Callithrix jacchus: one gene and its partners. The protein of the gene in region 4 interacts with the protein of the main gene of each other region in a pairwise test. Links are inferred from orthologs where the notes say so. Each region holds a gene or a part of one and is shown on either strand. Other genes may lie near its edges.

The links.
Region 1: the proteins of DISC1 (region 4) and EXOC1 interact in a two-hybrid assay, tested with the Homo sapiens proteins (2 studies listed by BioGRID and IntAct). The link is inferred for Callithrix jacchus from reciprocal best matches to the Homo sapiens genes DISC1 and EXOC1.
Region 2: the proteins of DISC1 (region 4) and TNIK interact in binary tests that used the Homo sapiens proteins (3 or more experiments, as listed by UniProt). The link is inferred for Callithrix jacchus from reciprocal best matches to the Homo sapiens genes DISC1 and TNIK.
Region 3: the proteins of DISC1 (region 4) and DPYSL2 interact in a two-hybrid assay, tested with the Homo sapiens proteins (2 studies listed by BioGRID and IntAct). The link is inferred for Callithrix jacchus from reciprocal best matches to the Homo sapiens genes DISC1 and DPYSL2.
Region 5: the proteins of DISC1 (region 4) and CEP63 interact in binary tests that used the Homo sapiens proteins (3 or more experiments, as listed by UniProt). The link is inferred for Callithrix jacchus from reciprocal best matches to the Homo sapiens genes DISC1 and CEP63.
Region 6: the proteins of DISC1 (region 4) and RNF40 interact in binary tests that used the Homo sapiens proteins (3 or more experiments, as listed by UniProt). The link is inferred for Callithrix jacchus from reciprocal best matches to the Homo sapiens genes DISC1 and RNF40.
Region 7: the proteins of DISC1 (region 4) and TUBB2A interact in a two-hybrid assay, tested with the Homo sapiens proteins (2 studies listed by BioGRID and IntAct). The link is inferred for Callithrix jacchus from reciprocal best matches to the Homo sapiens genes DISC1 and TUBB2A.

Annotation. Positions count from the first base shown.
Region 1 is NC_133504.1:140,867,474-140,871,666, forward strand, and holds part of EXOC1 (exocyst complex component 1), read right to left. Parts: intron 3,938-4,193; coding exon 3,774-3,937; intron 2,837-3,773; coding exon 2,729-2,836; intron 1,530-2,728; coding exon 1,453-1,529; intron 597-1,452; coding exon 368-596; intron 1-367.
Region 2 is NC_133518.1:15,981,518-15,985,710, reverse strand, and holds part of TNIK (TRAF2 and NCK-interacting protein kinase), read right to left. Parts: intron 3,211-4,193; coding exon 3,099-3,210; intron 2,262-3,098; coding exon 2,091-2,261; intron 340-2,090; coding exon 196-339; intron 1-195. UniProt on the Homo sapiens protein: Serine/threonine kinase that acts as an essential activator of the Wnt signaling pathway. Recruited to promoters of Wnt target genes and required to activate their expression. May act by phosphorylating TCF4/TCF7L2.
Region 3 is NC_133514.1:14,946,798-14,950,990, forward strand, and holds part of DPYSL2 (dihydropyrimidinase-related protein 2), read right to left. Parts: intron 3,856-4,193; coding exon 3,775-3,855; intron 3,096-3,774; coding exon 3,027-3,095; intron 1-3,026.
Region 4 is NC_133520.1:53,273,101-53,277,835, reverse strand, and holds the start of DISC1 (disrupted in schizophrenia 1 protein), read left to right. Parts: upstream 1-1,640; 5' UTR 1,641-1,708; coding exon 1,709-1,772; intron 1,773-4,735. UniProt on the Homo sapiens protein: Involved in the regulation of multiple aspects of embryonic and adult neurogenesis. Required for neural progenitor proliferation in the ventrical/subventrical zone during embryonic brain development and in the adult dentate gyrus of the hippocampus.
Region 5 is NC_133518.1:49,615,012-49,619,204, forward strand, and holds part of CEP63 (centrosomal protein of 63 kDa), read right to left. Parts: intron 3,022-4,193; coding exon 2,816-3,021; intron 2,017-2,815; coding exon 1,737-2,016; intron 1-1,736. UniProt on the Homo sapiens protein: Required for normal spindle assembly.
Region 6 is NC_133513.1:30,303,746-30,307,938, reverse strand, and holds part of RNF40 (E3 ubiquitin-protein ligase BRE1B), read right to left. Parts: intron 4,031-4,193; coding exon 3,909-4,030; intron 3,788-3,908; coding exon 3,641-3,787; intron 3,548-3,640; coding exon 3,473-3,547; intron 2,820-3,472; coding exon 2,700-2,819; intron 2,606-2,699; coding exon 2,426-2,605; intron 2,243-2,425; coding exon 2,107-2,242; intron 832-2,106; coding exon 710-831; intron 626-709; coding exon 198-625; intron 110-197; coding exon 1-109.
Region 7 is NC_133505.1:27,486,510-27,491,156, reverse strand, and holds the start of TUBB2A (tubulin beta-2A chain), read right to left. Parts: upstream 3,139-4,647; 5' UTR 3,058-3,138; coding exon 3,001-3,057; intron 1,715-3,000; coding exon 1,606-1,714; intron 1,270-1,605; coding exon 1,159-1,269; intron 183-1,158; coding exon 1-182. UniProt on the Homo sapiens protein: Tubulin is the major constituent of microtubules, a cylinder consisting of laterally associated linear protofilaments composed of alpha- and beta-tubulin heterodimers.

The DNA of each region.
Region 1 (4,193 bases), on a different chromosome or scaffold from region 4:
ACCATGTTGGCCAGTCTGGTCTTGAACTCCTGACCTCAGGTGATCTGCCTGCCTTGGCCTCCCAAAGTGCTGGCATTACAGGCATGAGCCACTGTGCCCAGCCTCCAGTGGATCTCATGAACAGCTGCTGCCACTGTGCCATCTACTCCAGAACTTGCTCCAAGATTCAGTGTGGAAGAGAAACTAGCTGGCATAGTGTCACCCAACTAACTCTGTTCATATAGATGGTTTTGCCATGCCCTGCTTTGAGGGACATAAACAATAGATTCCCCCAACAGAAAGCTAGCAATCCCTCAATTTAAATACATATATCTATATTTTGCAATCAGTAGGATGGTAAGGTATTTTTTTAAAAAAGAAAACTTACAATGCATTTGTCAAAGTTCCTTTTGACAGTCACCAAAACATTTCCCAATGTAGTACTTAGAAAAGAAGCAGGGTCCACATTTTGTGCAGTCCACACATGATGACTCATTTTGACTAGCATATAAAGAGAGTTAAAGCTATCAATTTTGTCTCCTAATGCAATTAGGTTGTTCAGCTCTGGCTCAATGCAGCGAAATATTTTAATCATCATTTGGCGGATCATATCTTTCCTGTTCAGAAAACAGACAAGATGTATAAAGTTACAGCAAGCTTCAGGTGAATTCACTTTTAACTTTAATCCACTGAGTATATACAAAAAGATTAAATTTCAGTTAAAAATGTCTAAATAGCTGGGAATGGTAGCTCATGCCTATAATCCCAGCACTTTGGGAGGCCAAGGCAGGCAGATCACCTGAGGTCAGGAGTTCGAGACCAGCTTGGCCAACATGGTGAAACCCTGTCTCCACCAAAAATACAAAAATTAGCCAGACATGGTGGTGCATGTCTGCAATCCCAGCTACTTGGGAGGCTGAGTCAGGAGACGCTTGAACCTGGGAGGTGGAAGTTGCAGTGACCTGAGATGGCACCACTGCATTCCAGCCTGGGCAGCAGAGGGAGACTCCACCTCAAAAAATAACAATAACAACAACAACAGTGACAAAAAAAAACCAAATAAAAATGTCTAAATATGATTATAGTAGTTTTTGACATAAAAATATTTTATTGGAGTTGGGTTTTATCATTTGAATTAGCTTTAATTTGTAAAAGTGGGTTATGAAATGTGCTTTATGATTTCTAAGAAATACACTGCAATTCAAACGCTTCCTCCTACCAGCAAACAACAGACTGACTTCATCTTTTGTGAGTCCTGGAGCAAGGAAGAGTTGAAGAGCCATAAAATAGGACCAATTTTAAATCAGTAAAACGTTTGCTAAGACAATGGACATATATGCTAGTGCTGTGAGCGCTGTCAGGCTGCTGAGAAATATCTGGACCCCTCAATGAGTAGCAATCCATGTTTTAAAGTTTGTTGTTGTTGTTTTTTTTTTTTTTCAAAATAAACAATAGATAGTAACAAAGACATACTCAGATGAAACTGGCAGTGGTGTGCCACAATTATGTTGCCGTGATAATGTTCCTCCATCCAGGTCCTCTGCTTCAGCCTGTAAAAATTATTCAGGCACTTTACGTAACAAAAGACAACAATTTGACTAGTATTTATAGAGCAAAAGCCTGCTCAATTTAAAAATTCCTAGGAAAGAATACATTATGAAAAATAATGATTTTTAAAGGTAGCATTACTGATAAAGGTAGCTATATAATTTAGTATATTAAGACTGTTCATGAGCTACTCTGTTCTTAAATTTTATCCAAGAATTTGTGTGGGGTGAGAAGCTGTATTTGTATGTGTGCACCTGAGGGGAAGTAGGGAGGTGCAGGAAGCTGAACACAAGGTACAGGAATGGGGGCAGCTCGACAACAATAACCATAAAAATAGAAAACGTCCAAACCCAATTTTTAAAAGAGAATTTAAAAAATTACAGAAATCTCATCAAGTATTCAAATAAAACTTCAGTATTACAAAAAATGCTATACAATTTTTTATAGAAGCCAACAAACAAATTTGCCACCATTATTACCATAACAATGAACATTCTAAACTGTCTATAATAATTAATTTCTCATTTATTTAACGACTGCTGTTATATGTTGGTTTTCTGAACCATACAATTTTGAGATGATAATTTAAAACACACTTTATTTGCACTGTTTTTAAGTTCTTCAAAATTTTCAAGAAACTGTCTCCTCTTAATTCTCTTACATGTATGCTACCAGAAAGGCATGCTGAGTAGGCACTACAATATCCACTTTACAGAAGAGGAAAACTGCTGGCTTAAGATCTCGTAGCTAGTTAGTAACAAAACCAAAAGGAAGACAGATCTAAGGCCTCATTTTCTTTTATTTATCATTATGATCATTTGCTATACCATAATGTATACATTCAAACATCATTTTTAAAACTTATCTTTGTCTTGATGACTACTAAAATGTTAAAATAGCTTTTTAAATAATGTTCTTCACAAACTAAACTCAGACATTCCTCTCCCCAACTAATTTAGAGAATATTTAGGCTTATCCATATTCTGAAATATTAAATTAGATGCCCAAACTTCAATTGTCACTGTTTTTATTATCTTGTGGTATGACAAAAATTCCTTATATCCTAAATCCTTACTGCATAAATTCTTACATCATAAATTCTTTCCTTTTCTCTTCTCATAATAAAATTATGACCACATGTTAATTAAGCTAATTATGTTACAGATCATAAATACTAGCCAAAATACATTGTGAGCCATACCATAGTTCCAGGCATACTTTGATGTTGCTGCAGTTTGAAAAATTTACTTATGAAGTCCTGTTCTGCCAGACATAGGGGCTCCAGTTCACTTAGCACCTGTTCAAAGATCTGAAGAAAACCAAAGTCATCCTATAATGAAAGAACTTTTAAGCACCAAATGCTTAAAATAACACTCCACGTTTAATTCTCTTTCCTGCATGGACCATGGATCCATAATCTCATTAATCTCTATCTATAAATTTATAATCTGAATGGAATCCCAAAGACTAACTCTTCCAAGATCAACAGGACAATGGTATTAACAAGGTGTAACAAGACCACAAAACATACCTAAAATAAAACTCAGTTATTCACTTCAAATCTAGAAAGAGGAACACAAAGATCAACTTTTAAAACCATTTATGGCCAAGCATGATGGCTAACACCTGTAATCCCAGCACACTGGGAGGCCGAAGCAGTAGGATCACTTGAGCTCAGGAGTTTAAAACCAGCCTGGCCAACATGGTGAAACCCTGTCTCTACTAAAAATACAAAAATTAGCCAGGTATGGTGGCGGGCGACTGTAATCCCAGCTACTCGGGAGGCTGAAGCAAGAGAATTGATTGAACCTGGGAGGTGGAGGTTGCAGTGAGGCCAGACTGTGCCACTGCATTCCAGCCTGGGTGGCAGAGCAAGACTCCATCTCAAAAACAAAAACAAAAAAACATATTTAATGCAGTACAGAGAAAGGTTAGAATCACAAAAGCTTTATTTCCTCTTTACTTTCTAGGTGCTCAGAACAACTTAGATTTGAGATGCAAGCATTTTATGATTTATCACAAATTTTAATACATTTTTTATGTTATTTCATTGATAATTCACATTTTGCTTGCCCTTTGACTAGTTTTTTTTTCCAGATTCAATTCCATTGGGAAGTAAGATATGGTTAATGCTTAAGAGAGCCAGAAGAATCCAAATCTTTGAACACACTTAAAGCAACCACACACTGCTGTTAGAAAAGAAAACGAATGTTAGTGTTTAAGAAGTACTTGTTATTTTAGTTTACCTTGTCAAATTTGGTCCTGTCAGCAACATCGAGATCGGAGGCAGACATGTTTCCCATATCCAGCAGGGAAGATGACTGAGACCTGCGATTCCCTGAACTCTGAACACTGAGCTTATTTAGACTAGAAGTAGATCCAGTTAATTTTCCCGAACTTCCATGAAGACCTAAGAAATAATAAAACTTTGAAAGTTGTGATCTTTAGAAATAAATGATCCAAAGTATAAAGCAGGGACAGATCTTGGTCTTCCAGGGCTCATATTAGTTAGTGCACAATCTTCTATATGGGATAGGTGATATAGTTTCCTTATCTTCCATTAACATTTGTGTCCTAATCCTGAGCATATTCAACAAAGAAGCAAAACTAAACAGATCCATAGAACAGGACTGAAAGGGACCTTAAAGAGTATATTGTTTATAACC
Region 2 (4,193 bases), on a different chromosome or scaffold from region 4:
AGGTGACAGACTTTTTTTTGGAGGTCACAGTCTTCAGTGTTACAAAATGTGGGCAACCTTACTCTGGCTATACTGCTATACTTCAGTGTGTTGCTTGTTAGCTGGGAAGGGCAGAGCTAACTGTTTCTGCAGAAAAGGGGTGGTCACCTTTCCCACCTGTTTGGACGTGGGGGACTCATCATTTTAGTAACATACCTGAAATTGTCACAAGGACATTCAGTCCCTCTAGCACATCCATCTGCTGAAATCGCCTCCGGTTGATCAGATTATAGACTTTGCCTTGCCCACTTCGATCCAAAAGCATCAGGCCATTTTCAGTCCCCACCAGAAGGTTTACACCTGTAAATTTAAGAAGCACCGTAAGACTGACTTTTCACAAACTTTAATCTTCGGCATCAAGAGTCCCTATAAAAATCTAAGAAACTGTGACTTGTAAATATAAACTAATGAGCAAGCAGGTAAATATAAACTAATAAGTGTAGAAGTAGAAGCTCTGACGTAATAATTAAAGCATTGTACTTCTGGTAATGAAATCACAATTTCCTTTTGTAAAGTTGTAGCTTCATTCACATGTCCTATTTACTACCTAATGCAGAGAGTCCTTGTCAACAGGGGCCTTGGGCACAGATATGAAGCTAGCATAATCTTCCTTTATTCCTTTCCTGGAACAACCACTTCTTTCTTGGCTCTCCCTATAAATCTACTTCTCTTCTTCCCCAAGGTTCACCCCACCCCCGTGCAGTGATTTCTAGCCTGCCCGCCTTCAGTGTACAATGGAAATTTCATTTCCATACTCCATTGGAAGAAAGGCCCTTCCTCCTCCTTGAACCAAAATCTAACTACCTTATGCCCCTTACCCTCAAGTTTCTGCTCTTTTTTGGAGAAATTATAAATTCATTCAAGAGAAGTGTCAATAGCTGGAGAGTCACAAACATACTCATTTAAGGGACTTCTCAGTTCTCTAAATCTAGTGCAGCCCAACACCCATGCAGGAATCCCTATTCCAGAAGCACAGGCAGGTAAGTGGTTTTGTCTGGGTCGTTGTAATCCTAAAAATGCATTGCTAGGGAAATTTATCGTCCACCCCTCTACACACACACATTGAGACGCTCATTGTGCAGTGTACTACATTCATGAACATGTAACTCTCCAACTTATCTTACTTATTGTACTTCTATCTTCTGATCAACACAAATATCTGCTTTTTTGTCCACATATTAATCCTTTTAAATTAAATGTGGCTATCTTGTTCTCTTCTGTCCCTTCTCCAGAGGACAGAGCATCTATCATGAAATAGTTCTAGGCTTCACACTCTTTCCTACTAACATCTCAAATGCTTTCAGCCCTTGAAAAGTACAGTTCCCCAATTCCAAGCCTACTGTTTTCAATGGGTACATAGGGAACATGCCCTTCCTTAATCTGTATAAGATGTTCATAGTAACATAGACCAAGACTTTGACAGAATTTCATCATGCCTATCCTGGGTCTGAGGTCAGCTAAAACCTGCAGATATTTTTCACAAGAAATGCAGACTGATGTTTTAAACTAAAAGGCAAAGTTCATCATATTATTTGTTGTTCTCTTCAAGTTTTATCTTGTTACTGCTAGTGGTATGACCTTGGATAATTCACTAAAATCCTCTGGGCTGGTTTTTCAGCTTGAAATGAAGGGTTATGCCATGATTTATGTGCTTATTCCCCTCGCAGGCTGTATGGATCATGGAGAATGAGCGTGGGGTATATCACGAAGTGCCGGACACAGCTCACCTCTGATTGATCAGATTACAGACCTTGCCTTGCACATTCAGTGTATCAGGTGGTAGCTAGTTCTCTTGTTGGCTTTAGCCCATCACTATTTTGCGGCAAGGTTGTTTGAATCTAATCGCATCATCCCGGCTAGTAGGGTGTCAGCTATTTCTACATATAAAATGGCTTTTGGTCTCTCCTGAAGTCAAGATAATCCCAAGCTAGGTATCTGATACCCACCATTCAACCAGTGTTCTTTTGATGACAAGATCCACGGGCTTTTCCTGTTTGGGGGTCAGTTCATTAGTAAGAGGTTATTAAAAAAAAAAAAAGGCACTGACATACCCCACAGAGCTGCACAAAGTATTTCTGAGTTGAATCGTTTCTTGTATTTTCTGATTTCTGGTGTGTCGCTGTGAGGCCGAATGTTGGTTGGGTTTACGTTTACCACTGAAATCTTTCTTGCTTCATTGAGTTTGGCCTGTTCTTGCCTAAGAAGTTCACTAGTAAACAGAGCTTTGAGAAAAAGAATCAGAGAAGTCAGTGGCATCTTAAAGATAACCTATGAAGATGTGGAGATGAGACTTCAAAACACTATGATTTCTCCTTGTTGGTTTGAATTATAGTAAAGGCAAAGAAACACTGAAACTCTTCTTATTTTACACTTTTAAAAAAGTGAATAAAATATAAGTCATTCATCAAAGCAGTGTTTCATTAATTAGCAAAACAGGCTTATAGACACTACTTGGACAGCTTAGAAAGTTGATATTAATCTCCCCAAATGAAATACACCATCCCCACTCCTGTAATATAAGCAAAAAAGATCTACTTTTTGAAATTCCAGAGTATCAATTGCAAAACTATCCTAAGCTGCTTTGATGATTAATTACTTGAAGAACATTAGAAAGCAAGACCCTCCTCTAAATTAGCCAGATTTTTGTAGTGGGAAGCACACACCTAGAACTCAACACAATGCACCATGCACTTATTAAGGGCCTACTGTGTGCAAAGCATTGTACTCAGAAATTGTTTTGGGGAAATATTTGGTTATGTTCAGAGATCACTGAGGAACAGCTTTCCTAGGGTCTCTATATACCCCTGGGTCTACCAGAAACAAAACAGAAGAGATGGAAAAAAAAAAATGGAAATAAGTAAGTTTGTTTTAAGATACCTAAATAATAATAATTTTAACAAAAATTTTAACAAGAAATAATAATTTTAACAAATCTTCCTTTTAAGACAGGACATAAGGAGTAATTGGCTTAACTACTGAACTGAGGATTAATTTTCTTATCAGGCTGTAACAGAAGGAAGACGAAGCTGTTTTTAAAACACTGGGCCCTTCTTGCTTACCTGCAGCTGATGATTCCTCATCCTCTTCATCTTCATCAGTGGGAGACGTCTGGTATACTCTGGGGTCCACAAAGGGGGTGAAGGAGGCTTTGGTGCTGCTCCCCATGCCATACTAATCAATAAGCAAGAAGATTAAGAAGCGCAGATAAATATGCAGGACTAAACAATGCTAACAACCCTGTGCTTGAGCTGTAAAATGATCATGGATTGTTCAGGGTATTCAGCTGTTCATATTCTAGCGCCCTAGTCAGTGTGTGCCTCTCTCCAGCTTCTTCTGGTGTTGATTATTCACTAGCCATTGTGCATTTGTAGGACTTCATTCATTATCAGACTGCAAGAATTGCAGTGAGAAAATTACATTGTGAACCACGTACGGCACCTTAAAATCTGTAGGACCACTGTGGTGACAGAGCTTTCCTCTCGCTTTCAGTAAAAGCAATCTCCTATATCGATCACATGGTCAATATGAAAATCTGACGCAGTTGGAAATAAACTAAGTAAGCCTACACGGCAGCACTTGGTCCTGAACACTGAGTCAACCCAAGGAGCTTTCTCTTGGGGAGGAGAACTTTCAGCCCTTTCACTCTGGCCTGGTGATGCAAGTGGATTGGTATTGCCTCCAGAAGTTTTAAAATCTTTAATTCAGGGATGATATTATTCTGGAATTGAAGATTTTTTCTTCCCATGACAGTTTCCTTAAAAGAATAATTACATCTTTATTTAGGGACTTCATGAAGATATTAGGTTTGTGGGCAATGTACCTTGAAGGCTTACTTTGAAAAATGAATCTCAGGCTTGGAGAGCACCATGAAAACATGATGTTGGAAGTAGAAGAGGGAACAGTACACTCAGTCTCGGGGTTTCATGTCACAATATTCTAAATTTGAGTTTTGCTGAAGGAGCTGCAATGATGTCAGTCATGTTCCTTGCTCCTACTGTTCTTAACTTTTAACATCACAAATATATCTGTATTCAACATAATAAGCACATCTTTTGTGGATAAATATCTTTAACTAAAGGTCATTTCACTTTAGTTTTACTTTTAGGTTTCTATTTAAAAATAAAACCACCATCCAAGACCTCTAAAAATATAAG
Region 3 (4,193 bases), on a different chromosome or scaffold from region 4:
TCTGATGGTTTGAAAGTGGCAGTTTGCCCTCTGCTCCCTCTCTCTTGCCGCCACGTAAGACACCTGCTTTCCCTTCCCCCTCTACCAGGACTGTAAGTTTCCCGAGGCTCCCCAGCCATGCCGAACTGTCAAGTAAATATCTTTTCTTTATAAATTACCCAGTCTCAGGTATTTCTTTAGAGCAGTGTGAAAACAGACGAATACAAGCAAACAGAATAACAACTGAGTGCTTTTTCCTCTTCGGTAAAGCCAAGACCCTTTCTGTATTGGGTTCTTCTCTGCAGAAAGGAGGAGAAAGAAGGAATGCGAGCCCCTTGGAAGGCTCTAAAACTTAGACAAGAGGAGGGTCTCAGAGCAGGAGCCTCCTCTGGCATTTGCTCTTCTCAGAGGATGTCTTCTCACCACCTGTACAGCTGGTACATGGCAGGCGGAGGGACTGGCTCCCAGTCACCAAACAGGAGGAAACTTTCTAATGAAGCGCAGGCCCAGGTGTGGCTTAAAGCTGCATGTGTGTGCAGTGCGGGAGGGGTTGGGTAGCAGGCGGGACCCTGCACTTGCTCACTCTTTGCTTTGATAACAGGGCAGTCATGCTTTCGAAGTGTCCTCATGTAAAGAAAGAGATAACCAAGGAGCCCACGGCAGCACAACTCTGGTCCCACCACACATGGGGGTAGAATGTAAATGGTGCTCCCTGGATACAGCCATGCAGCCTGCATGAATAGCACCCCCTGGAATTGTGCAAAGAAGATGCTGTTGTACCTCCCGCACAGGAAAGTTACAAAGGTAAAATGTGAGCCAGGAACACAGCGTCCAGGGCGCGTGAGCACTAAGTGAAGGCAGCTTTGAACAGGGCCCACATGAGAACCCAATCAGCCCTCCACCTCTCCCAGACTCTATGCATTTCCAAGGCCTGATCCCAAGAATGTTTCAGGGCTGAACAAAGGATCACTTCCAGGGAGGTCAGGGCTGAGGGCGACCACGGTTTACGTGACCATGGTTTAAACCACCCAACAGGTGAATCCTGGGGGATCTAGTGAAGGCAGTCCCCGAAGCCAGCCTGGAGGGAGAAGTGAAGCCACAGAAGGGAACCTTTGAGGTGTCTGCAAAAGTGGGATGGTGCCTGCACAGGTGTGAGCAAGCACATATGTGCACGTGTGTGTAAGAATGTGTGTATGTGTGCATACCTTGTCTGTCCTTGCACAAGTGTATGTGTAACGTAAAATGTGTATACACGTGTGCTTTGCACCTGTGTGTGAAAATATGTATATGTGTGTTTATGTGCATGTCTGTGCCTATGCACGTATGTGTGTGAATGTGGGTGCATGCGTGTGCTTGTGCACGTGCATCTGTATGCACACAAAGGTGCATAAAATCAGCCTCAGGCATGTTTATCGTCAGCTGGTCTTAGCTTGCTCTCACCTGCAGGCTGTCCCCTGGAGTCACTGTCCACCAGTCACCATCTCAGCACAGGGCTTTCCTCAGCTGACACAGGGGCCTGCCTGCCTCCCTGATCCTGAAGGATGAGGCCACCCTTTCAGCTTTTAGTGCACATGACAAGGTTGATGGCTACAAAATGGCCTGCATCCCTGGCCTGGAGCAGCAACATACAATCCTGAAAATGTCATGGCTTCTGTGCTGTCGCCTGGGGAGAGGAATACGTCTCTTCGGGGCCTCAAATGGTACTGAAGGTGTCTTGGAGCATGCATGTCTGTATATCTGCCTGTGTGTGTGTCTAAATGTCTTTCTGTATGTCTACAGTGTATGAGTGTGTGTGTGTGTGTGTGTGTGTGCCTATGTCTGTGGGTACATGTATGTCTAGAGCGCATATGCATGCAGCAACAAGGGCAGAACAAAGCATGGACCTTGCTGTGTGCAAAGCATTCCGATGGCTCCCGCTCTCCTCTTTCTGCCTGTCTTGCCTCCTTCCTCCTCTTCCAGCCTCATCCCTTCTTCTCAATTCTGAATGGTTCCCAACAGCCCCCTCATATACCCAGGCAGTACACAAATGGCTCCTTCGCTCCCAATCCCTCCTGAATCCACTTCCTCATCACCGGGAGCAGCTCCCCTCCCAACCTGGTACCAACAAGAATACATCCCAAATTTAGTAGCAGCATAATGCTGACACTCAGCGACTCGGTGGCCACAGCCCTGCAGGGAGCTCTTGCCAAGCTCCTCCCTCATGGGCTTCTGGAGCCTCCTCACTGTCAGCCGCCACTCAAGCCCTTGGTGATCTGACACCCCTGCTCTGCACCAGTCCCTTTTCTACCACTTCCTCTCATGAAGGGGAAACCCTGGTGGTTCCCTAGAGATTCCCCCATCACATTCTTCCCTGCAAGCTGCAGGCTGCTCCCTAATCAGGGCCCCTAGAGCCTGACATCCGGCCTGTCATTAAGGAGCCAGCTTCTGAAAAGTATTTCACAGCCACAAATTCTAACGGAGGAACACAGGTTCTCCATCACCTAAGACGTGCGCACCCTCCCTTCAAACTCACACCCCTCACCAGGACGGTGATTCTCCACCTTTGGACCAGCACAGGCCCCTGCTATGAATTTTTCCCCTACAATTTCAAAAGATTCTGTCGGCCAAACTCTGCGTATCATGTGATATCCTGTGCAGGGTTACCTTGGAAAAATTTACAATTCCCCATATGCCTTCTAGACATTTAGATTAGCTTTTCAATCCTTCCAACTAGGTTTCGGTGAACTTTGGGAAGACCTTAGAGACCGTAAGTTGTGAAACACTAAAATCGAGACTGCAGGATGCCAGTGAAGAACTGTCTGTGTCTACATAGGCAAGGGCTTGGAGAGTAACATACAGAAAGAAGACTCTTCTGGCCAGACAGGTCACACCACCTTACCCTCAGGAGCAGCCTAACATTTCACTTTGCCTATGTAGACTGACACACACACACACACACACACACGTGACCCACAGCTTCTCAGAAAGACCAAAGTCAGCATCAGAGATGCCCCCTTCTCAACACGGGTTCCCTGTGGCTCTGCGCATTCTGCCTGGCAGACATTCACCTCCTCGGGCCGGCTCAGCACATGTCCCTCGGGGCCCGTGATGCCCAGATCCAGGATCCTCTGCTGCTCCTGCAATGTTTAGAGAAAGCCAGGCTGTGAGGGAGAGCAGACTTCACACAGCTCTGATGGCAGAAACCCAGCATGCAGTTATCCGGGTAAGATGGAAAACTGTCACTGCCGACTGTTGTGCCCTCATCCCAAGACCTCAGGAAGAGAAGGGTTTGCTGCCCTGTTCCCAGTCCCGCCTGAGCAGGATGGATCAATTACAGCCTCCCAAAACCACTCAGCTGTTCCCTGGGATGCTGACAGCTGGTACATCTGTGGCCCTCAGCCACAGTATAAAATGTCTGTGTGTGACATCAGGGTTCCCGCACCCCACCCAAGGCAGCTGTGTTACAGCGCCAAGAGAAATGGTCTCTCTCTGCAATGGTAACTGACTAGGTGTTCTGTGGGAAAACAGAGAGACACGTGTGTCACGGGCATTCACGCCATGGGTGAGACTGAGCGAAAACGGAGAGACACGTGTGTCACGGGCATTCACGCCATGGGTGAGACTGAGCGAAAACGGAGAGACACGTGTGTCACGGGCATTCACGCCATGGGTGAGACTGAGCAGAGCTCCCGCAGGGAACACTGGGTCCCTCTGCTTTTCCACCTTGGTGTTAAGCTACAGATGTCGCCTCCCTCTCTTGAGCCTGGCTCTTGCCCTCCAGGTGATGAAGAAATGATGAAAAAGAAAGCCCGGTACCTCTGCAATGATGTCGCCATTTTCTGCGTGGACTTGGGCTATGGCGCCAATGTCCCGGATCACACTCAATACTTCATAAATCTGAAAGAGAGAAGGATGGGGTCAGAGACAGGGGACTTCCATCTTCCTGTTCACAATGACAATCATCTCCCTGCCGGCAGCATTTCTGGGATGAGAAATAGGACGCGCAGGCTGCTTCTATTAGCCTGGTTTTTTTGACATGCCCAAGGGCAATGTTTCTGGCCACATTTGATGGAGACCCGTCAGAAATTAACAGAGGCAGCACGACGTAGCAGGACGTGGACCAGGAGTAAGCAGCTCTTGAGTGACACCTGGCTCTGCACCAGGTTTGCTGAGGAGGTTCTGAGTGCCCCTCCCAGACACGCCATGCTAGGCAGAGCCTCAGATCCAAGGTGGTG
Region 4 (4,735 bases):
GTCTCAAACTTCTGGACTCGAGTGAACCTACCACTTTGGCCTCCCAAAGTGCCCAGCCTTAGATATTTATACATCCATTTATTTTTAGAGACGTGGGGAAAGAGGCAGGAGTCTCTCTCTGTCACCGGGCTAGAATGCAGTGGCCCCATCATAGCTCAGTGCAGTGCTTGAACTCTTGGGCTCAAGCAATCCTTCCACCTAAGCCTGCCGAGTAGCTGAAACGATGGGAGTGCACTACCTACCATGCTGGGCAAAACACGAATTTTAGGCACAACTGTATGCTTTCACTCATAAGATCGTCAGCTTTTGAAGGACCTCAGCCTTCCTCTAGTTGTAACTCCTCTCGTTCTGAGGAGAGCCTTCCCTTTCCTGTAGAACGTCTCCCCAATCCTTCTTCACAACCCTCCCTCCTATCCCTGAGCCACCTGCAAGAAGGTTTGTGCCAAGCCTCTGGTACATGGCACATTCTAGCTCCTGATGTGATTTGGTTTCATATGCCCGTGCTCTCCTTCTGGCCTGGAGGGGAGCTGCTTAAGGACACAGAGCCCACGTGTAGCCCTTCCTTGTACCCATTGTCCTATATAGCAGGTGCTACCTAGGGGGTGCTCTAGTAGCTTCCTTGAATGAACCAAAGAGAAGGGTTGAATCAGCGGCCTAGGAGCAAGCTTGCATGGACTCCTGTGTCCTGAAACCAGCCTGTGTCCGGGAACCACTCCAGAGCGGCTGGAAGATGCTAGAAATTGGAATTCCATCTCATTTCTAAACATCTGCTGCCACTCATCTTTTTTCAGGGTCATCGGTCATCCCCACTGTTCCCCCCACCCTCCGCACTTTGTATAATTGAGTCTCTCACATCCCTCCATCTTCTCCATCACTGTGTGGTCACTTCTCAAATCACGCGTCTGGAAGGCGCCCTCCTCTACCCGGTGCTGAAGGCCTCCCGCACTTCCCCTCGTTTCCTCCAGAAATGAGCCACAGTGAAAGCAAACTTCCTGAGGTCCCGAGATCCCGGAAACCGGCTGTGAGGGCCGCTGGCCCGCCCGCTCCAGCTGCGCGTGTGTGCGTGTGTGTGCGTGTGCGCGCGCGTGTGCGTGTGTGTGTGTGTGCGTGTGTGTGCGCGTGTGTGTGAGCGCGCGCGCGCGTGTGTGCGCGTGTGTGTGTGTGCGCGTGCGCGTGTGTGCGTGCGTGTGTGTGTGCGTGCGCGTGTGTGTGCGCGTGCGTGTGTGTGTGCGTGCGTGTGTGTGCGCGCGCGTGTGCGTGTGCGTGTGTGTGCGTGTGCGCGTGCGTGTGTGTGTGCGCGTGTGTGTGTGCGCGCGTGTGTGTGTGCATGTGTGTGTGTGCGCGCGCGTGTGCGTGTGCGTGTGTGTGCGCGTGCGTGTGTGTGTGCGCGTGTGTGTGTGCGCGCGCGTGTGTGTGTGCATGTGTGTGTGCGCGCGCGCGTGTGTGTGCGTGTGTGTGTGCGTGCGCGTGTGTGTGTGCGCGTGCGTGTGTGTGTGCGTGCGTGTGTGTGTGTGTGCGCGCGCGTGTGAGGGGCCAACCCTGGAAAGGAAACCGCGGCCTGGCAAAGGAGAAGAAAGGAGCCGCCCCCTGCGTCGCCAGCCCCCTCCCCACTTCCGTCCTGCGCGCCGCTCCCTTCCCCCGCCTCTGGCCTCGGGGAGCGAGCAGCAGCCGCTCGGGCGGAGCGGGAGGAGCTGGCAGCGGGAGGAGCATGCCAGGCGGGCGTCCTCAGGGCGCCCCGGCCGCCTGTGGCGGCGGCGTGGGCCACTGCGCAGGTAAGGGAGCTGCCACCACGTCCTAGCATGTCCTGGGGGGTCTTGGCAGGGAGGGCGCGCTCTGGCCCCCAGGAAGTCTTGTAGGTCGGGGCGTGCCTCTGTTGACAACCCCTTTCGAGGTGAGGAAACTGAGGCAGGACGCGCGGCGTGCGGGGTTGAGAGAAGAGCCAGTCTTGGGCTGCTAGCCCGGTGCCAGCGCCGAGCCGGGCCAGGTCCCAGACCCAGGACTGTGCAGCTATCCCCTGACCTGCGCCCCCGCTGCGTGTCCTGGTGACCGGGGAGGGTTGCCAGGGCGTGCTTGGGTTTTGGATCCGTCCCGGGACACCTGCGCCGCGCTCACTCTCCTTGCGGTGCTCCCCAGCCTGCGCCCCCACGGGACAGGGGACGTCCCACCCACCTTAATCCCCAAACCCTGGATCTCTGGTTCCACCCCTTCGGGCACCTAGGGGGAGGAGGCTGGGAGAGGGACCAGGAACTGGTGCCTGTGGCTCGGCTACGGGCTGCTCTGAAATCAGTTCCACCGCCCACTTCCTACTAGGCACGCCCACGGCCCAAGCCGGAGACTGCTCGGTTTCCACCGCCGGAGCGCGGGTCTCGCGGTCAGCTCTTAGTGATGCCCACTGAGTGGATGGTTGCTTTTCAACATCACTCTTAAAATATTCGCAAAGGAATGTGAGGTTTTCCAAAGTCAGTGAAATTTGGAGTTAGGGAGTGCTTCCTTGTGTCCTTGCTGGGTGAGGACAGGGCTGGGTCAGTCACTTAAGCCTGAGCCTCAGTCTCCTGAACTGTAAAAGAGAACACTTATAATCTGGCCTCCCTGTGTCGTTAGCTTTGTTGTATGGGAATTCACTTTGCAGTGTTATCATCGTCCAGACAAACTTGAGATGAACAACACTAGGACCACATGAGCTGGGGTTTGGAGACAGTCTGCATGTCAATCCTGGACTTACCGATGCCTCAATTTCCCCGTTATTAAGTGGACACGATCACAGTACCTGCTTCATAGTGTTGTTATGCACTTTAACTGTGACCGTGGACGTGAAGCACCTCACCCAATGCTTGAGATACCCAGCGTGCACTCAAAAAACCTTAGTGGCTGTTTTTACTAAGCAAACTCTAAATAATTGGGAGGAACGTGATAATACCAGTTGGATTTTATTAATGTAGGAATAGCAGGACATTTAAAAATAAATGTAGTTTTTTACACTCGGCATGATACATGAAGTCGTCTGAGGTTCAGTTTTGTGCCACAGAGGAAAAAGAGCCCTGGACAAGAGACATGCAGCTTTTCTGGCTCTTGGAGTTTGAGCCTGCTTTCTCATCTGTTTACATAAAAGATAAAAGAAAAATGGGGGTAGTAATTACTGCCTTTTGTTCTGATCGCATTGTCTGAGGATCAAATGAGGTAAAAGATCTGAAGGCACCTTACGTGCGGAGTGTGAGTCACTAAGCACATATCACACATGATAGTACTAGGAGGGAAGAATAATATCTGCGCATTTTTAGAACTTAAAATGTGCCAGACATTTCATTAGGAATTCCTCTGATGAACTCCTCCCCATATCTGTATGGGACTGGGATGACAGTCCTCATTTCCCTATGACAAAGATAAGGTTCAAGGTCACCCTGCTTGGTTCCCAAGCTCACAGAGCTCTTGAGCATAAAGCCAGGATTAGAACCCTGGTGTGTGCCACTCACAGCTGTGTTCTCGGCCACTGGCCAAACTGAAATTATAGGGTGGAGCCGTGATTCAGAACAGACCTATATTAGATTTTAGGTAACTTTTTGTTTTTCTTTAAGAGATACAGGGTCTTGCTCTGTCACTCAGGATGGAATGCAGTGGCGCAGTCATGGCTCACTGTAGCCTTGAACTTCTGGACTCAAACAATCCTCCTGGCCCAGCTTTCTGAGTAGTTGGGATTACAGGCACATGTCACCATGCCGAGCTAATTATTTTTTTAGAGATGGAGTCTTGCTATGTTGCTCAGGCTGTCTTGAGCTCCTGGCTTCAGTCATTCCTCCCACCTTGGCCTCCCAAAGCACTAGCATTACAAGCATGAGCCACTGGGCCCAGCTTCCATCCTGCATATCTATAGACCCAAAATGTAAGACTGAATTGTTAGTTCTGGCAAAAGAGGCTTTGGGGTAATTCTAATTTCTTTCAGCCTTGTTTTATAAAATATACTTTAAACTACCTTCTTGTATAATGAATGATGACAATTTGCAGAAAAGTTATTAAAACATTGAAGGAACAGAAGGCGAGATCTCATTGCAAATCTCAAAGTGGTATCTGGATTAATGCTTTGTTTTACCATTCATTTGCCAGAACCTTTAGGATGCCACATGAGGTGTTAACAGGGATCCAGACTTTGGGTGTCGTGGTTACCTTGCAGGGCTGGGCCGCAGGACTTTTCTGCAGAAAGCTCATTGCTCACCCAAGATGCCACCAGAGGAAGCAGAAACTTCTGAGAGGAGCATGAATGTTCTTTGTGCTGCAGAAACAATTCCTAGTTTACTTGTTTCCTAAATTAAGTTTATCTTACGGGTTTTTATTTTTCCAGAAGCAATGCTTGCTCATTACAGGAAGCACAGAAAACTGTAAACTAGTAAATGAACATTAAAAACTACTGTAATCTCAGCAAGGTAGACAAATAGCTTGGTGTCTCTGTTCTTGTAACCCCTTTTTCTTTCTTTTTTTTTTTTTGAGATGGAGTTTTGCTCTTGTTGCCCGGGCTGGAGTGCAATGGCGTGATCTTGGCTCACCGCAACCTCTGCCTCCCGGATTCAAGCGATTCTCATGCCTCAGCCTTCCGAGTAGCTGGGATTACAGGCATGTGCCACCATGCCCAGCTAATTTTGTATTTTTAGTAGAGACAGGGATTCCTCTCCATGTTAATCAGGCTGGTCTTGAACTCCCGACCTCAGGTGATCCACCCACCTTGGCCTTCCAAAGTGTTGGGATT
Region 5 (4,193 bases), on a different chromosome or scaffold from region 4:
CAATAAAAGAAAAAAAAAATCAGTAAGTTCTGCAAAAATTAACACTCATCTCTCCCTTTCTGACCCAAGGTGCAACAATGTAAAGTATCATAAATAAGTTATCAGTTTGAAAAATATTTCAATTTAGATGTCTATATCCTTCTGTAGTTAATGCCTATGATTTCAGACTTACTTTAAAAACCTGAGCATGTCACTTTGATTTTAAAGCATAGAAAATTTAACAAAAATAAATTAGATGCCAGTTAAAATCAATATTTTTTCTCCTCCAAATTTTCAGTCCACAGTCCCCTATCTGAAACCCTTGGGTCTAGCGATGTTTCAGCATTCTGATTTTAGAAAGGTAATATAGAACATATGCCATATGTAGTCAGTACTCATTCCCAATAGCAGTAGTTGTGTTCTATGAAGTCACCCAAAACACTGAAATAGGAAATACAAAATTTTTGGCCCAGGGAAAATATACACATACAACAAATTCACACACACACACACACAGAGTATAATCCTAAATCCTAGAACAATTCATTCTGGTAGATTTTGTATTTTTTTTATTTCATATGAGAGACATGAGGTTCAGAAGTGGTAACTCTCCTGAGGCCGCCCCACTAACTGGTGCCGAAGTTGGGATTCAGACTCCATCCAACTGGCACAGAGCTGAGCTTCTTTCCCTATACTGCACTGCCCCTGCCGTCTCTAGCTTCTGGTCACCTCCACGTAAGTAGGGACAAGAAGGCAGAGTGTTGCCTACTTTGATCTTGGCTGACATTGTGCAAACTGGTCACTCAAAATTTTTGCCACTCTGCGTATGTCCACGAATGACTTTGGGAGTTATAGAGTTTAGGGAGTATACAAATTCACAAATACAAAATCTATGAATAATGAGGATCAACTGTATTACCCCAGTGGAGTCTAAGGGAACTTTCCATAACCAAACACACACATTTCTGAAGCAAAACACATGGATACTCACACTAAGTAGAATAGGGAAAGTCTATACATATTAACACATCAGTTCAGGCCAGGGAAAGTTTTAATGCCAAACAATTTTTGCTGCTAAACTTAAGAAGAAAGTGAAGTGAGGACTTACTCTAAGAAATAAAAGAAAACCTTTCCATGGACTTGGTGGCACATAGTAAGTCAAAAATACTGCCTTTTCATGGCAATATGGCCACAGCTGGTGACAGGAAATGACGGGCCCATAGCAAGTACTCTGGCACAGAAGGCAAAAAGATGGCACAGCCTGCACGGCAATGAAAGGAGCAAGGAACTGGCATGGCATGGTGTCCTAGGCACAGACACTCAAGCCATGCTCTGCACACATCAGAGGCACAGCCTTCTTCCACCTCTGTGCCTCCTTTCTCCTTTCCAGCAGTTCCTCTTTTCCTCCTTTACTGCCTGTGCCTCAGGACTATCTTGGCATCCAAAGACATTTCTTAAACTAACCATTCCAGCAAAAAATTGAGCATCTCTGAAAAGGACAGGAAGGGAATTTCCAATTACGGTTAAGGACAAATTAACACCTTTAATTTATGTTTCAGAACTAGGATATATTTTGAAAAAAGTTGTCTTGGCTGAATGTATCTTTATAAGCAAAAACTGTATGACAGGGATACCTGAGAAGAGTATCTATGATAAATGAATCAATAAGAAAACAAAAGAATCACCCTCTTCACCCTTAAAAAATAAAATCAAACTAAAAACAATAACAAATTAAGAAGATCAGAAAGTTTCCATACCGAAGACATAAACTCTTCTTGGTCATTCATACTCTCAGACACAGTGTCAGAAAAACTGGCTTCATTTGTATCTAGCGCTGAAGGCAAAGAGTGAGTTTTACACAGAGAGTAGGAAGTCAAAGACCTGGTGGAGCTGCAAGGGCTGACTTGAGGACTCAGGGGGCTTAGCACCCTGGACATGGGGTCTATACTATCCGACGCTCGTCCTCTTGGAGAATGAAGACCTGTTTTATAGTGCTCAATCTTTATTCCATCATGTCTGTGCTGGCCATGGGTTGGCCTGGATGATAGATTAGAAAACAAAACAAATAGAAAATTGTAGTAACTTTTCTCTTTCCAACAAAAATGTAGGAACTTTGCTTAAGCAAATAGCCTAACTAATAAGGCTAGAATTTACAAAATTAGCCACCTACTCAGATCAGATGTACTTTCATTCATTCAGGCCCCAAAGATCCAATCCCCACTACCAGGTACCTGCCCCCTCAAATACCTATGATATAGCCAAGAAAGATAATCTGCCAGAGTAATCTAGTGTGGTTAGTGCTAAGACAGAAGTACTGGGCACATAAGAAGGCACCTTACCTCACTAGCAGGTTGGGGTAAGTACAGGAATGGAAGTGAGGGTGACAGCAAATGCTCTGGGTAGGAAAACATGTAAGCCTTATAGTATAAGCTGAAGCCAGGTGGTTTTTCACTGAATGCTTACTGCTTACGGTAACAGCCTATAACAAATTGACTAAAATCACAAAGGAAGCTGTTTATAAAAAGCCAAATTCTACTTCTTATGGGGCAAATGGGGTTGAAAAGGTGGGAGGGAGCATGAAAAGCCTCATGTAATACACATGTTGTTTATACTGACAACCAGAGTGTACAAAACTAAAGCTTTAATGAAAATGCTATATACCTCCCCCTGATTAATTTAACATGATCATAGCTTTACTTGTGCACACTATACTTCAGAATTAAACATGGAGCCCTTTGATGAAGATTTAATTTCCGTAAGTCAGAAATTATTTTCAAAGAAATGAGAATTATATTGTACCAATACACATTTTAAATAAACTTTTAAGAAATTTTACTTAATCTCTGTATTCTTGAACTCAGTTGTTCTGCTGTGTGTTGGTTTAAAGATCCCGTCATTTTGTTTTTTGCATATCTGAGTAGAAATATCCAGCTGAGATTTGGTATTCATCAAATCTTTCTGTAGTTGTTGATTTTCAGACACTAATTTATTTAATGCCTCAATATAATTATCCTGGAGGTCGGCTAGTGAAATCTCTTTTGCCTAATAAAAAAGAATACTAGAATCACTTAATCTGTACAAGAATACTTATGATCTGTGATATTGCTGGTTGGAAAATTCAGTATTTTTTAGTTGTAATTATTTAATCTATGGCTTTAATTTAGAAAAAGTGAAGCTTTCTTTTTAGTCCTCGAAAGACTAACAGAGAAAAAGAATTCTTCAAGTAAATGGTAGTGGAACTCTAGAAGCACAATGGGCTTCCTTATGTGCCAAGGAATTCTAAGGAGGTGGAGGAAAGATGGAACTAGGATGAAGGAAAGCTATAAGAGGGAATCAGAAACAGGGAAAAAGAAGAAAAATGGCAGCCATGTTTCTTCTGCAAGAACATTAAGGTTGAATAACCCCAGAATACCAAGGGAAGAAAACAGAGACCTAGTTCAAGGAAAAAAATTTGAACAAAAAGTTCTGAGAAAAATATCTGGCTGGCAGACACAACTTTTAAATAAATAATTTCTAATCTTAAACACTTTTCTACAACACTGGCATCTACTCATATATAAATTTGGACATGATAAAGCAGGATTCAAGTATACAGTGGGAATTACTATTCTGATCTGGTATCAGAAATTTTATTGTTCTTCAATTCTAGGTGTTTCCTGGTAAGACACTACTTGAAAAAATGGCAGTCTGGGTGATTATTTTTTTCTAATGACAAAATAATTAGTATTCTGCAAAGTTATGGTAATCTTCTTTGGAGTTTAATACCATAGTTGGCTTGCTCTTTTCTGTAAAAAAAATCTGAAAGTAAGCTGGTCAAGAGTGGTCTGACAAACATAATATTCCTAACAAAAACATAAACTTTAGAATATACCTGTGAACTATCTGTGTACAAGTAGTGACTACAAGCTATGAAATCTTTCAACAAGCTGCCAATGTCAGGTAAAATATCAGGAAAGAACATTTGCAGGACAGATGAGTTATGATGAAACTATTATCAGTTTTCAAAACATGGTAAATCATTTATTTTATCAGAGCTGTTGCTTTCATTATTAAGATAATTAGGTAATTTATTAAAATAGACATTTAACCCAAACATTCATTTGTAAAAGTAACCTCAGCTTCCTACATGGTAAAATGCAAAAGGGCACTTTCTAACAATTATTCTTAATAATATCTACAATATATTCACACTATAATTTCAAAACTAGAGAAAG
Region 6 (4,193 bases), on a different chromosome or scaffold from region 4:
GGCCTTGCGTTCCGCTGCCATGAGCTGCACCTTATCCCGCTGCTCCTTGGGCGCAGACTTGTACATGTCCAGCAGCAATTTCATCTCCTTCTGGCTCTCCTGGGCCTTCCTGGCAAGAAGGTACAGGAGGAAGTCTTGGTGAGTGGGACTGGGGGCCACCTAGCAGGGTCAGGAAGAAGACAGGAACAGAGGCTCACTTGAGCTCCGCTCGGAGACCCTTGAGGAGTTCTGATTCCTTCCGCTTGGCCTCTTCCACCTTGGCCTTCTCCCGTTCGGCCCTTGAGAGAGCTGAAGCTACAGGTAGAGGTCCCAGGCTGGGACCCTCCCGTTCCCGAAGCTCCCGCTTCGGCCTGGCCTCAGGTTCTCTGCCCCGGAAGGAAGGACCCTGGGCCCCAGGGGTTAAGGCCTGGACATCCTCTTCAGAGGGGACCAGCTCCTCCTTCTTCACTGAGGAGGCAGTAGTGGTGGTACCAGGCATCGGAGCCATCTCCTTTCTGTTGTCAGGGATACTGACAGGGCCTGGCCCACCCTCCTCTTTCCCTGGGGCTGGGGCATTGAGGCCAGAGTCCTCTGAGTGGCCCACATTGGGGGTGGAGTGGGTAGAGCCACTGGGCTGGGCCCGGAGCTGCAAAGGCAGAGAGGAAGAGGCATGAAATGATAGTGTTCAATGGAATCTAGCCAAAGCTTTTCCCAGGCAGCCCCTCCTCACCTTGCCAATCTCAGCTTGTACTTCTCGAAGTTTCCGCTTGTATCGCTGGGCATCCCCTTTTAGCTGGTGGTTGTGGTTTTGAAGACTACTAATCAGATGGCGCATCTCACGGTTGATGGGCCCTGGGGGAGCATCAGGAAGGGTGTCAGAACCAGTTCCTGGGTTAGGGCTCCAACCCCTCAGTGGGGGAAGAGGCTGTGCCATCCACTTCCACTGTGCAGGAGAGAACATTATGGCCCTGACTGAGCATGACCTCATGAAAGTAAAAAATGGTGACTTCAAGGAAATTCACCCAAAGGTAACTGGACACTGCCTATTCATATGACTTTTGCTAACGTAGAGCATTTGTTTTTGTTTTGTTTTTTTTAAAATAGAAACAGTGTCTCACTTTGTTACCCAGGCTGGTCTTGAATTCCTGGCCCCAAGTAATCCTCCTACCTTGGCCTCCCAAAGTGCTGGGATTACAGGCATGAGCCACCATGCCAGGCCTAGGTTTTGGTTTGTTTTTTAATATATCCAATTTCCTTTAATAGAAAGGTGTAACATTCACAGAAGTTAATCAACTTCTAGATTCTTAAACATCACCTTGGCTGGGCGCGGTGGCTCACGAGGTCAAGAGATCAAGACCATCCTGTTCAACATGGTGAAACCCTGTCTCTACTAAAAATACAAAAAATTAGCTGGGCATGGTGGCACGTGCCTGTAATCCCAGCTATCTCTGGAGGCTGAGGCAGTAGAATTGCCTAAACCCAGGAGGCGGAGGTTGCAGTGAGCCGAGATTGCGCCATTGCACTCCAGCCTGGGTAAGAAGAGCGAAACTCCGTCTCAAAAAAAAAAAAAACATCACCATCCCTGTTATATTTCCCTGGCCTCCCATCCAAAATTGCAACACCTTTCTCCTAATACTTCCCATCTTCCTTTTCTGCTTTACTTTCCTTAGTTTATTTGTCAGTTGCTAACACATTTTCCATTATTCTTCTACTAGTCTGTCTTCCTCTAGTCTGTCTTCTCCTATTAGAATATTGCTCCACATGGCAGGAATTCCTTGTTTTGTTCACTGGCATAACCCCAAACCCTAGAGGAGAGCCTGGCTCCTAGGTGACATTTGATAAATCTTTTAACACAAGTATCTGAGAGAGAGAAAGACACCATCAGACCAGAGGACTGTGGACAAGGTTGACAGCTCAAAGTCTGCATGTGCCTGCTCCATCAGCCATCCCATTTGGTGTGACCCTCACTGTGCCTGGGAGCCAAGCAGTGCAGGCCCTCTTTTGCATAGGAAGCTGAAGTTCTGTGAAAGAAAGGGGCTTAGCCTCTTGCAAGTGGATAAGCAGCCCCACATCAGGGACTAGCACTCCCAGATAAAGCCCCACCTCTGCCCTATCCTCACCACATACCCGCCTGCTCGTTGGCCGCCAGATTCTGCTCAAACTCGATGCGCAGCATCTCATACTCCTTGCGTACCTGGGCCAGTGTGTCCTCCAGCTGGATGACCTCTGTGCGCAGCTTCTTCTGCAGCCCCAGCTCGTCGCTCTGTGGGTTGATGTGTTAAGGACCCACAAAGACCCTTGGTCCCACCTCAGGACTCAGTGGTTTAGGAAGAAATCTATTCTCCAGGAACCGCTGGCAGGCACACAGGGCCTCTGAAGCCAGGAACACCTCAACACTAAGGGTCTGGCCCTTAGCCCAGCCCCTATGCCTGTTCCAGGGCCATACCTCCATGTGCTCGATGTGTCGCAGGTGGGAGTTCTTGGTAGCCAGCAGCAGGCCCCGAGCCTCGTCCAACTGGGTCTTCACTTGCAGAGATTCGTTGTACAGCAGTGAAAACTGGGACTGCAGGACACGGTACTCTGTCGTCTCCCGCACCACCTCCTCAGGAAGGCTCCGCAGAGCCACCTAGGGGTAGGGATGCCCAAATGGGATCAGTAAGATTCAGGGCTCAGCCCCTCCCTTCCAGGCACAGACCTTCTCAGCCCCTATGGCAGCCCACCTTGAGGCGCTCATTGGTCCGCACAGCCCCCTGAAGTTCGGCCTGCAGTTTCTCCAGCTCTGCCATGCGGCTGTTGGCCAATTCTTGGTTTTCCTCCAACTCTGCATTCAGCATCTCAAACTACAGAGTGGGAGGCAGGGAGGTGGGGCCAGGTGTGGCAGTAGGCCTCCCTTATATCCCCACCATACACTCTACCCCAACTGCCCCTGTGCAGGGCAGTGATTGATTCTGATGCCCCAAACCAAGGACTTTCCTAAGGGCTCCCAGACAAATTGGAGAAAATTCAATACTGCATGGTCAGAGCTGGGAACTAAGGCTCTTAACTGATAGGGAGTCAGGGAAGCATTTCAAGAAGCCCTAAAGTGACAGTAAAGGGAAAAAGGGCACAGTGACCACCGGATGCCAACTGACTCCAACTCACTTCCATCTCTCTCTTCTGTACTTTACCTTTGTGGTACTCATAACAAACTGATACATTATTTCACTGATTTCTTATCTGCTACCACAAGTAGAATCTAAATACATGTTCTTTTATTTATTTCCTGTCTGGTCCATGAAAGTTTTGACCTCTATTTTGTTCTTGCCAATATGCCTACTGACTAACACAAAGTGTTCAAAAATTTACTCAACAAGTATATGAATGCATGAAAAAAAGAGCAGCAGGAGTGACCAGGAAGGGCCTCAGCGGTGGATGTTTGTCCTTCGTCCTGAGGGGAATTTCAAGGGTGCAACAGAGAAGAGATCATGGGAGGGGCTGGGAAGATGTCACTCACCTTCTGCATGCTGAGTGTGATCTGCCCCCCCTGGAAGCCTGAGGAGCTCCCAGACACATAATAGCCAGAGTTAAGCTGGGGAGAGAAGACAGGCAATGAATGTGGAGGGGAGGAGCTAGGACCCCAGCACCCAGCCCTGTCTCACCTGCCCCAGCACCTCAGCCCCACCTGCTCTAAAGCCTCAGCCAGGTGCTTATTGAGCTTTTGCTCTCGCTTCCGCAGCTTCTCGATGTCCCACTGCAAGTCCTCCACTGTCGTCTCCATCTCCAACACCTTGGTCTCTGCCGATGTAACTTTATCCTGAAGCTCAGAGTACTGGGAACAATGAGGAAGCAGATGCTTGAATGGGGGACTTGGTTCCTGAGGTCCTTGAGTGCCCATCTAACCCAATTCCTGTCTCATTCTAATCCCACCCCCAAAGCCCCTGACTCCTCACCTCCAATGAGATGCGGTGATGCTTCTCCTGCAGCTGGGTGGCCAAATCCTGCAGCCGCCGGTTCTCACGGCCCAGCTCTCGGGTGCGTGCCCGAGCTGCCTCACTGAGGGGCTCGCTGTCCCCTGGAAAGGCAGGGCCCAGGTAAGAGCCCAGCTCAGGGCAATGGGGCAAAGTACTAACTTATTCTGGAGTCTGCTATGTGCCCAGTGCGATCGATCAGCTGTCTTGCCAATTTCTCACGACAAAGTCAAGAGTCTTTATCCCCACTGCACAGCAGAGGAAACC
Region 7 (4,647 bases), on a different chromosome or scaffold from region 4:
GCTGATGAGCAGGGTGCCCATCCCGGACCCCGTGCCGCCCCCCAGAGAGTGGGTCAGCTGGAAGCCCTGGAGACAGTCACAACTCTCTGACTCCTTCCTCACCACGTCCAGGACCGAGTCGACCAGCTCAGCTCCCTCTGTGTAGTGGCCCTTGGCCCAGTTATTCCCGGCTCCACTCTGGCCTGCCAGAGGGAAAGTGACTATTAGACACTCAGACATAAGGAATTTCAAAATCTGTCATTTTGACTATGGAGGAGAGTGTAGGACTGATCTTACACTGGCAGATTCTTCTCTTTTGAATACTCTTCTATTACCTAAAGAAATATTTTTGTCAGTGAGCCTCAAAAACATGGGCTCATAATAAAGTAAAAAGCAAGTTTAGCTCATCTGAGGCTATTGACTGAGGAAGAGGATAGGGTTAGAAAACTTAGTTGGTTCTGAAATACCTACTTTTTTTTTTTTTTTGAGATGGAGCCTCACCCTGTTTCCCAGGCTGGAGTGCAATGGCACATCAGCTGACTGCAACCTCCACCTCCCAGGTTCAAGGAGTTCTCCTGCCTCATTCTCTTGAGTAGCTGAGATTACAGGTGCACACTACCACGCCTGGCTAATTTTTTTGTATCTCCAGTAAAGACAGGGTTTCACCATGTTGGCCAGGCTGGTCTTGAACTCCTGACCTGATATGCCTGCCTCGGCCTCCCACCAAAGTGCTGGGATTACAAGTGTGAGCCACCTTGCCTGGCCACAGTTCTGAAACATACATTTTAAACAGGCATTCTCTTTATATTCAAGGTGACCAGGAGAGAAGGTGGCTTTAGCATCAGTCTAAGCTCTAGTCATAACCTGTACTTTTGGCCCCTGGCTCTTTGAAGTCCTTTCAAGTTGCCTGTAGCCTATGAAACCTGGCCTGAAGCTTTTCCTTGCTCTTTCTTCCAGTCTGAGGCTGCTCTGTAATGGGAGGGCTGCAGCAGCCCTCTGCAGGCTGGTGTGGATCTCTGAGCCATGACCACCCGTGGACTGGGTGGAACTAGGCCAGGACTCAGGGCTGCCCGTGGACACAGTGTCACCTTGGCAGTGAACACTAAGAACTGTGCTTTGCAGGGCTGTGAGGAAGAAGGTGTGGCATTTGGCCAGTTCCCACTGATGGTGACTACATACCGAACACGAAGTTGTCTGGCCTGAAGATCTGGCCAAAGGGTCCAGACCTGACGGAGTCCATGGTGCCAGGCTCCAGATCCACCAGGATGGCCCGAGGTACATATTTGTTACCTGCAGGGAACGAGAACTGACTCAGACCTGTACTTGGGGGGGACTCACAGCAACATTCATTAAAGACAGCTCCAGCATCTGAGACAAAAGGAGAACAGGAGGTTCTCTGCTTTTAAGAAAAAGGAGGTCTTGAGTGTGCTTAGCCGTGGCGAACAGGCAGGATTCTTAGGGAACCATTACGTGTGTTTTTCCAGCAGTTGGCATTTGAAATGAATATGCAAGAAGCATGCCTTTGTCACGTGCATGTTCCTAGGACGGTTCATCTCCCACAGCATGGGAAGCAAGGATTCCTGTTAGGAAGAAGGAATGTTCTTGCTAACACATCCCGCTACTCACCAGCAGCCTCATTGTAGTACACGTTGATTCTCTCCAGCTGCAAGTCACTGTCTCCATGGTAACTGCCTGTGGGGTCGATCCCATGCTCATCGCTGATGACCTCCCAAAACTGAAATGAAAAAAGATCCAGACCATGGCCCAGCGTCCTGAATGTCACTAAGGATGGCCTTGTCCTCCTCCCATGTCCTTGGAACAGGGGCTTTTGTGGTCAGACGGTAAGTGCTAGACAGAGAGCAAAGAGCTGCACCCCCTATTTCCTGCAGCAGCCACTGCTGAGGGGCTTGAAAATCCGCAGAGCATCGGCCATATTATGGCGATAGACTGAAAGGCTGGGAGGGGCCCTGGAGGAGGAGGGGGCACAGCAAATGCCCTTCTAGAGAGAGGGTCAGGAGGGTAGAGAGGTGGGAAAGTGGTACAGGGAGGCTCTGTCACCCCAGGCAGGGCTGAATGCCATTGCATCGGGGATGATTGATGGGTCGTGGCAGGACTGAGGACAGGGGAGCCCACACTGTGGCAGCCTCCAGGAATCAAGCTCTCTTGGCATAGATCCCAGGCACCCCTGCAACAGTGCAGGTTTAAGCCACCGATCTACATGCTGGCACTGACCACAAGAGAGACTGGGCAGGGAAGGGCAGCAGGAACCTGGGAGGACGCCTGGGTGGCAGTGGAAGGAGCTGGCCATGGTGAGGGCGCTGGCTCCATTGTGAATTTAAGACAGGGAGGGGGCGGGGAGGCTGGGTGGGCAACATGGCGGTTCTCAAAGAGACCACGTCCTTGTACAGGCACCACCCCCACCCATGCAGCAAGCCGGCTGCTGCCTCCCACACAGCGGTCGGTAATTGCAGCCCCCACCCAGCACAGTCACCTGCCACCTCAGGGACTGGCAGCAAGACTATGGCGTTATAAGACTTCATGTCTAGACAGTGCCGGAAATAGGGAACAAGGGAATTTATCTAACACCCTCGCCTGTGTGACCCAAAGGGAAGCCTCTGTTACACCTGTCAGTCCAGTGACACTGCATGTTTTCATTCAAACCGTTGAGAAAAATGTACAAATTAAATATCTCATGAAGCTAGCGGAATAAATATGACCATATCCTCGCCCCAAGTTTCTGAGACTAATACACCCAGCGGAATGCCAACTGCGTCCCGCAGAAGGGCTGTGTCCCAGGGAAATCGAAACGGCGCCGACTAAAGACTCACACGGCTACGGGGGCCGCGGGCATCCTGGCGGGTTGTGCAGCCTCCCCCGCCTTGCCCGCCCGCCTCTCCGCGGAGTGTACCACACGGCCAGCCCCGAGCCACCGAGGCTTCCCACACCCGCCCCTGCCCCGACCCCGGCCCCAGCCCGCACCCTCCGTCACCAGCCCGGGCCCCTCCGCGGCGGCGCGCCCACCTTGGCGCCGATCTGGTTGCCGCACTGGCCCGCCTGGATGTGCACGATCTCGCGCATGGTGCCGGCTGCGGAGCGGGTGGCGCTGGCCCTCGGAGCGGTGCGCGGCGTGGACCGGCGGGCTCGGCTGCGCAGAGACCTGCCGCCGCCCCCCAGCTCCACCTTTTATAACCGGGGACCTGCCCTACCCTGCGACGTCATGATGGGCGGAGCTGCGCCCGCGCGAGAGGCGCGGCTGGGACTGCGGCACCGCGAGGGGGAGCCAGGGCGCGGTGCGAGATGCGGGGGCGCTCGACCGGTTGCGCCTGCCGCTGGGTCCCGAGTGGGCGCCCGGCCTTGCTGTCTGGCGGCCAGTGTGATGCCCGGACCTCAGGCCCAGCCGCAGCCCCCTGCTCGATCTGCGGGCGCCGGCCTCCCCCTGGCTCTGGGTTAGCTCACGCCGCAATCCCCACCCCACCCCGCCTACTCTGGACCCTAGAAGAGGGGCTAGAGACTGGAGAGGCTGCCTCGGAACAGGGTCCTAGCCCCCAGGGCCGGGAAGAGGCGTTGAGTACCATTTGAAGTGGGGAGCTGGGAATTGAAGACCCATTTACAGAGGAGTCTCCAGCGGGTGGAAAGGTTTCCCGCATCCTAGGCAGGAGCTTGGACTCTGCTCCCGCTCCATCCCAGCTGGGACGCCGGTGCTGGGTGGCGGGGACAGCGTGGAGCGGAGTGGAGAGCTCGGGGGAGCCGACTGGCAGCTGCTTGAAAGGAATGCCAGGATGGCGGGGTGGGTGGCCTTTCGCCCCTACAGGGAAGAAAGATGGCTTTGTGGGGGGCGGGGCGGGGGCCAGAAAAGGACTGGATTTGTCACATGTCCTGGGCTCCTGCGCCCTTGTAAAGGCCTTTTAAATGTGGAAAATTCTGTGTGTGCGTCAGAGAGGAGAGACAGGAGGAATATATCTGCCACGTTGATGTGTTAGCCTATGGCCCTGCCCCCTTACACCCCTTAGGTCACCTGATCCTCACAGAAGCTTTCAGAGCTGGGCTATCCAGTTTGGTAGACCTTAGGCACCCGTGGCTGCTGAGCATTGCAACGTAGGTTGTCTGAACGAAATATGCTGTTCAGTGTGAAGTACACACTGGATGTTATGGGCTCAGTAAGTTAAAATAATGTGAAATATTTCTTTATTTATTTGTTTTTGGAGACGGAGTCTCACTCTGTCACCCAGCCTGGAGTATAATGGCTTGGTCGGCTCACTTTAACCTCCGCCTCCCGGGTTCAAGAGATTCTCCCCCTTCAGCCTCCCAAGTACCTAGGACCTACAGGCGCATGCCACCACACCTGGCTAATTTTTGTATTTTTAGTAGAGACTTTCACTATGTTGGTCACACTGGTCTCAAACTCCTGACCTCATGATCCACCTGGCTTCGCCTCCCAAAGTGCTGGGATTACAGGCGTGAGCCATTGCACCTGGCCTTCATTACTGATTCTTAAATATTGATGGCCAATCAAAATAATAGTGTTTTGGATACGTTGTGTTAAATTACTTGTTTTGAAATTAGAAAACGCAAAATTACATACATGGTTTCCATTTGCTGCTCACTTATGCATATTTTTGTTGACTACCACTGGTTGGGAGTAACCATTATTAATACCCCAATTTCATA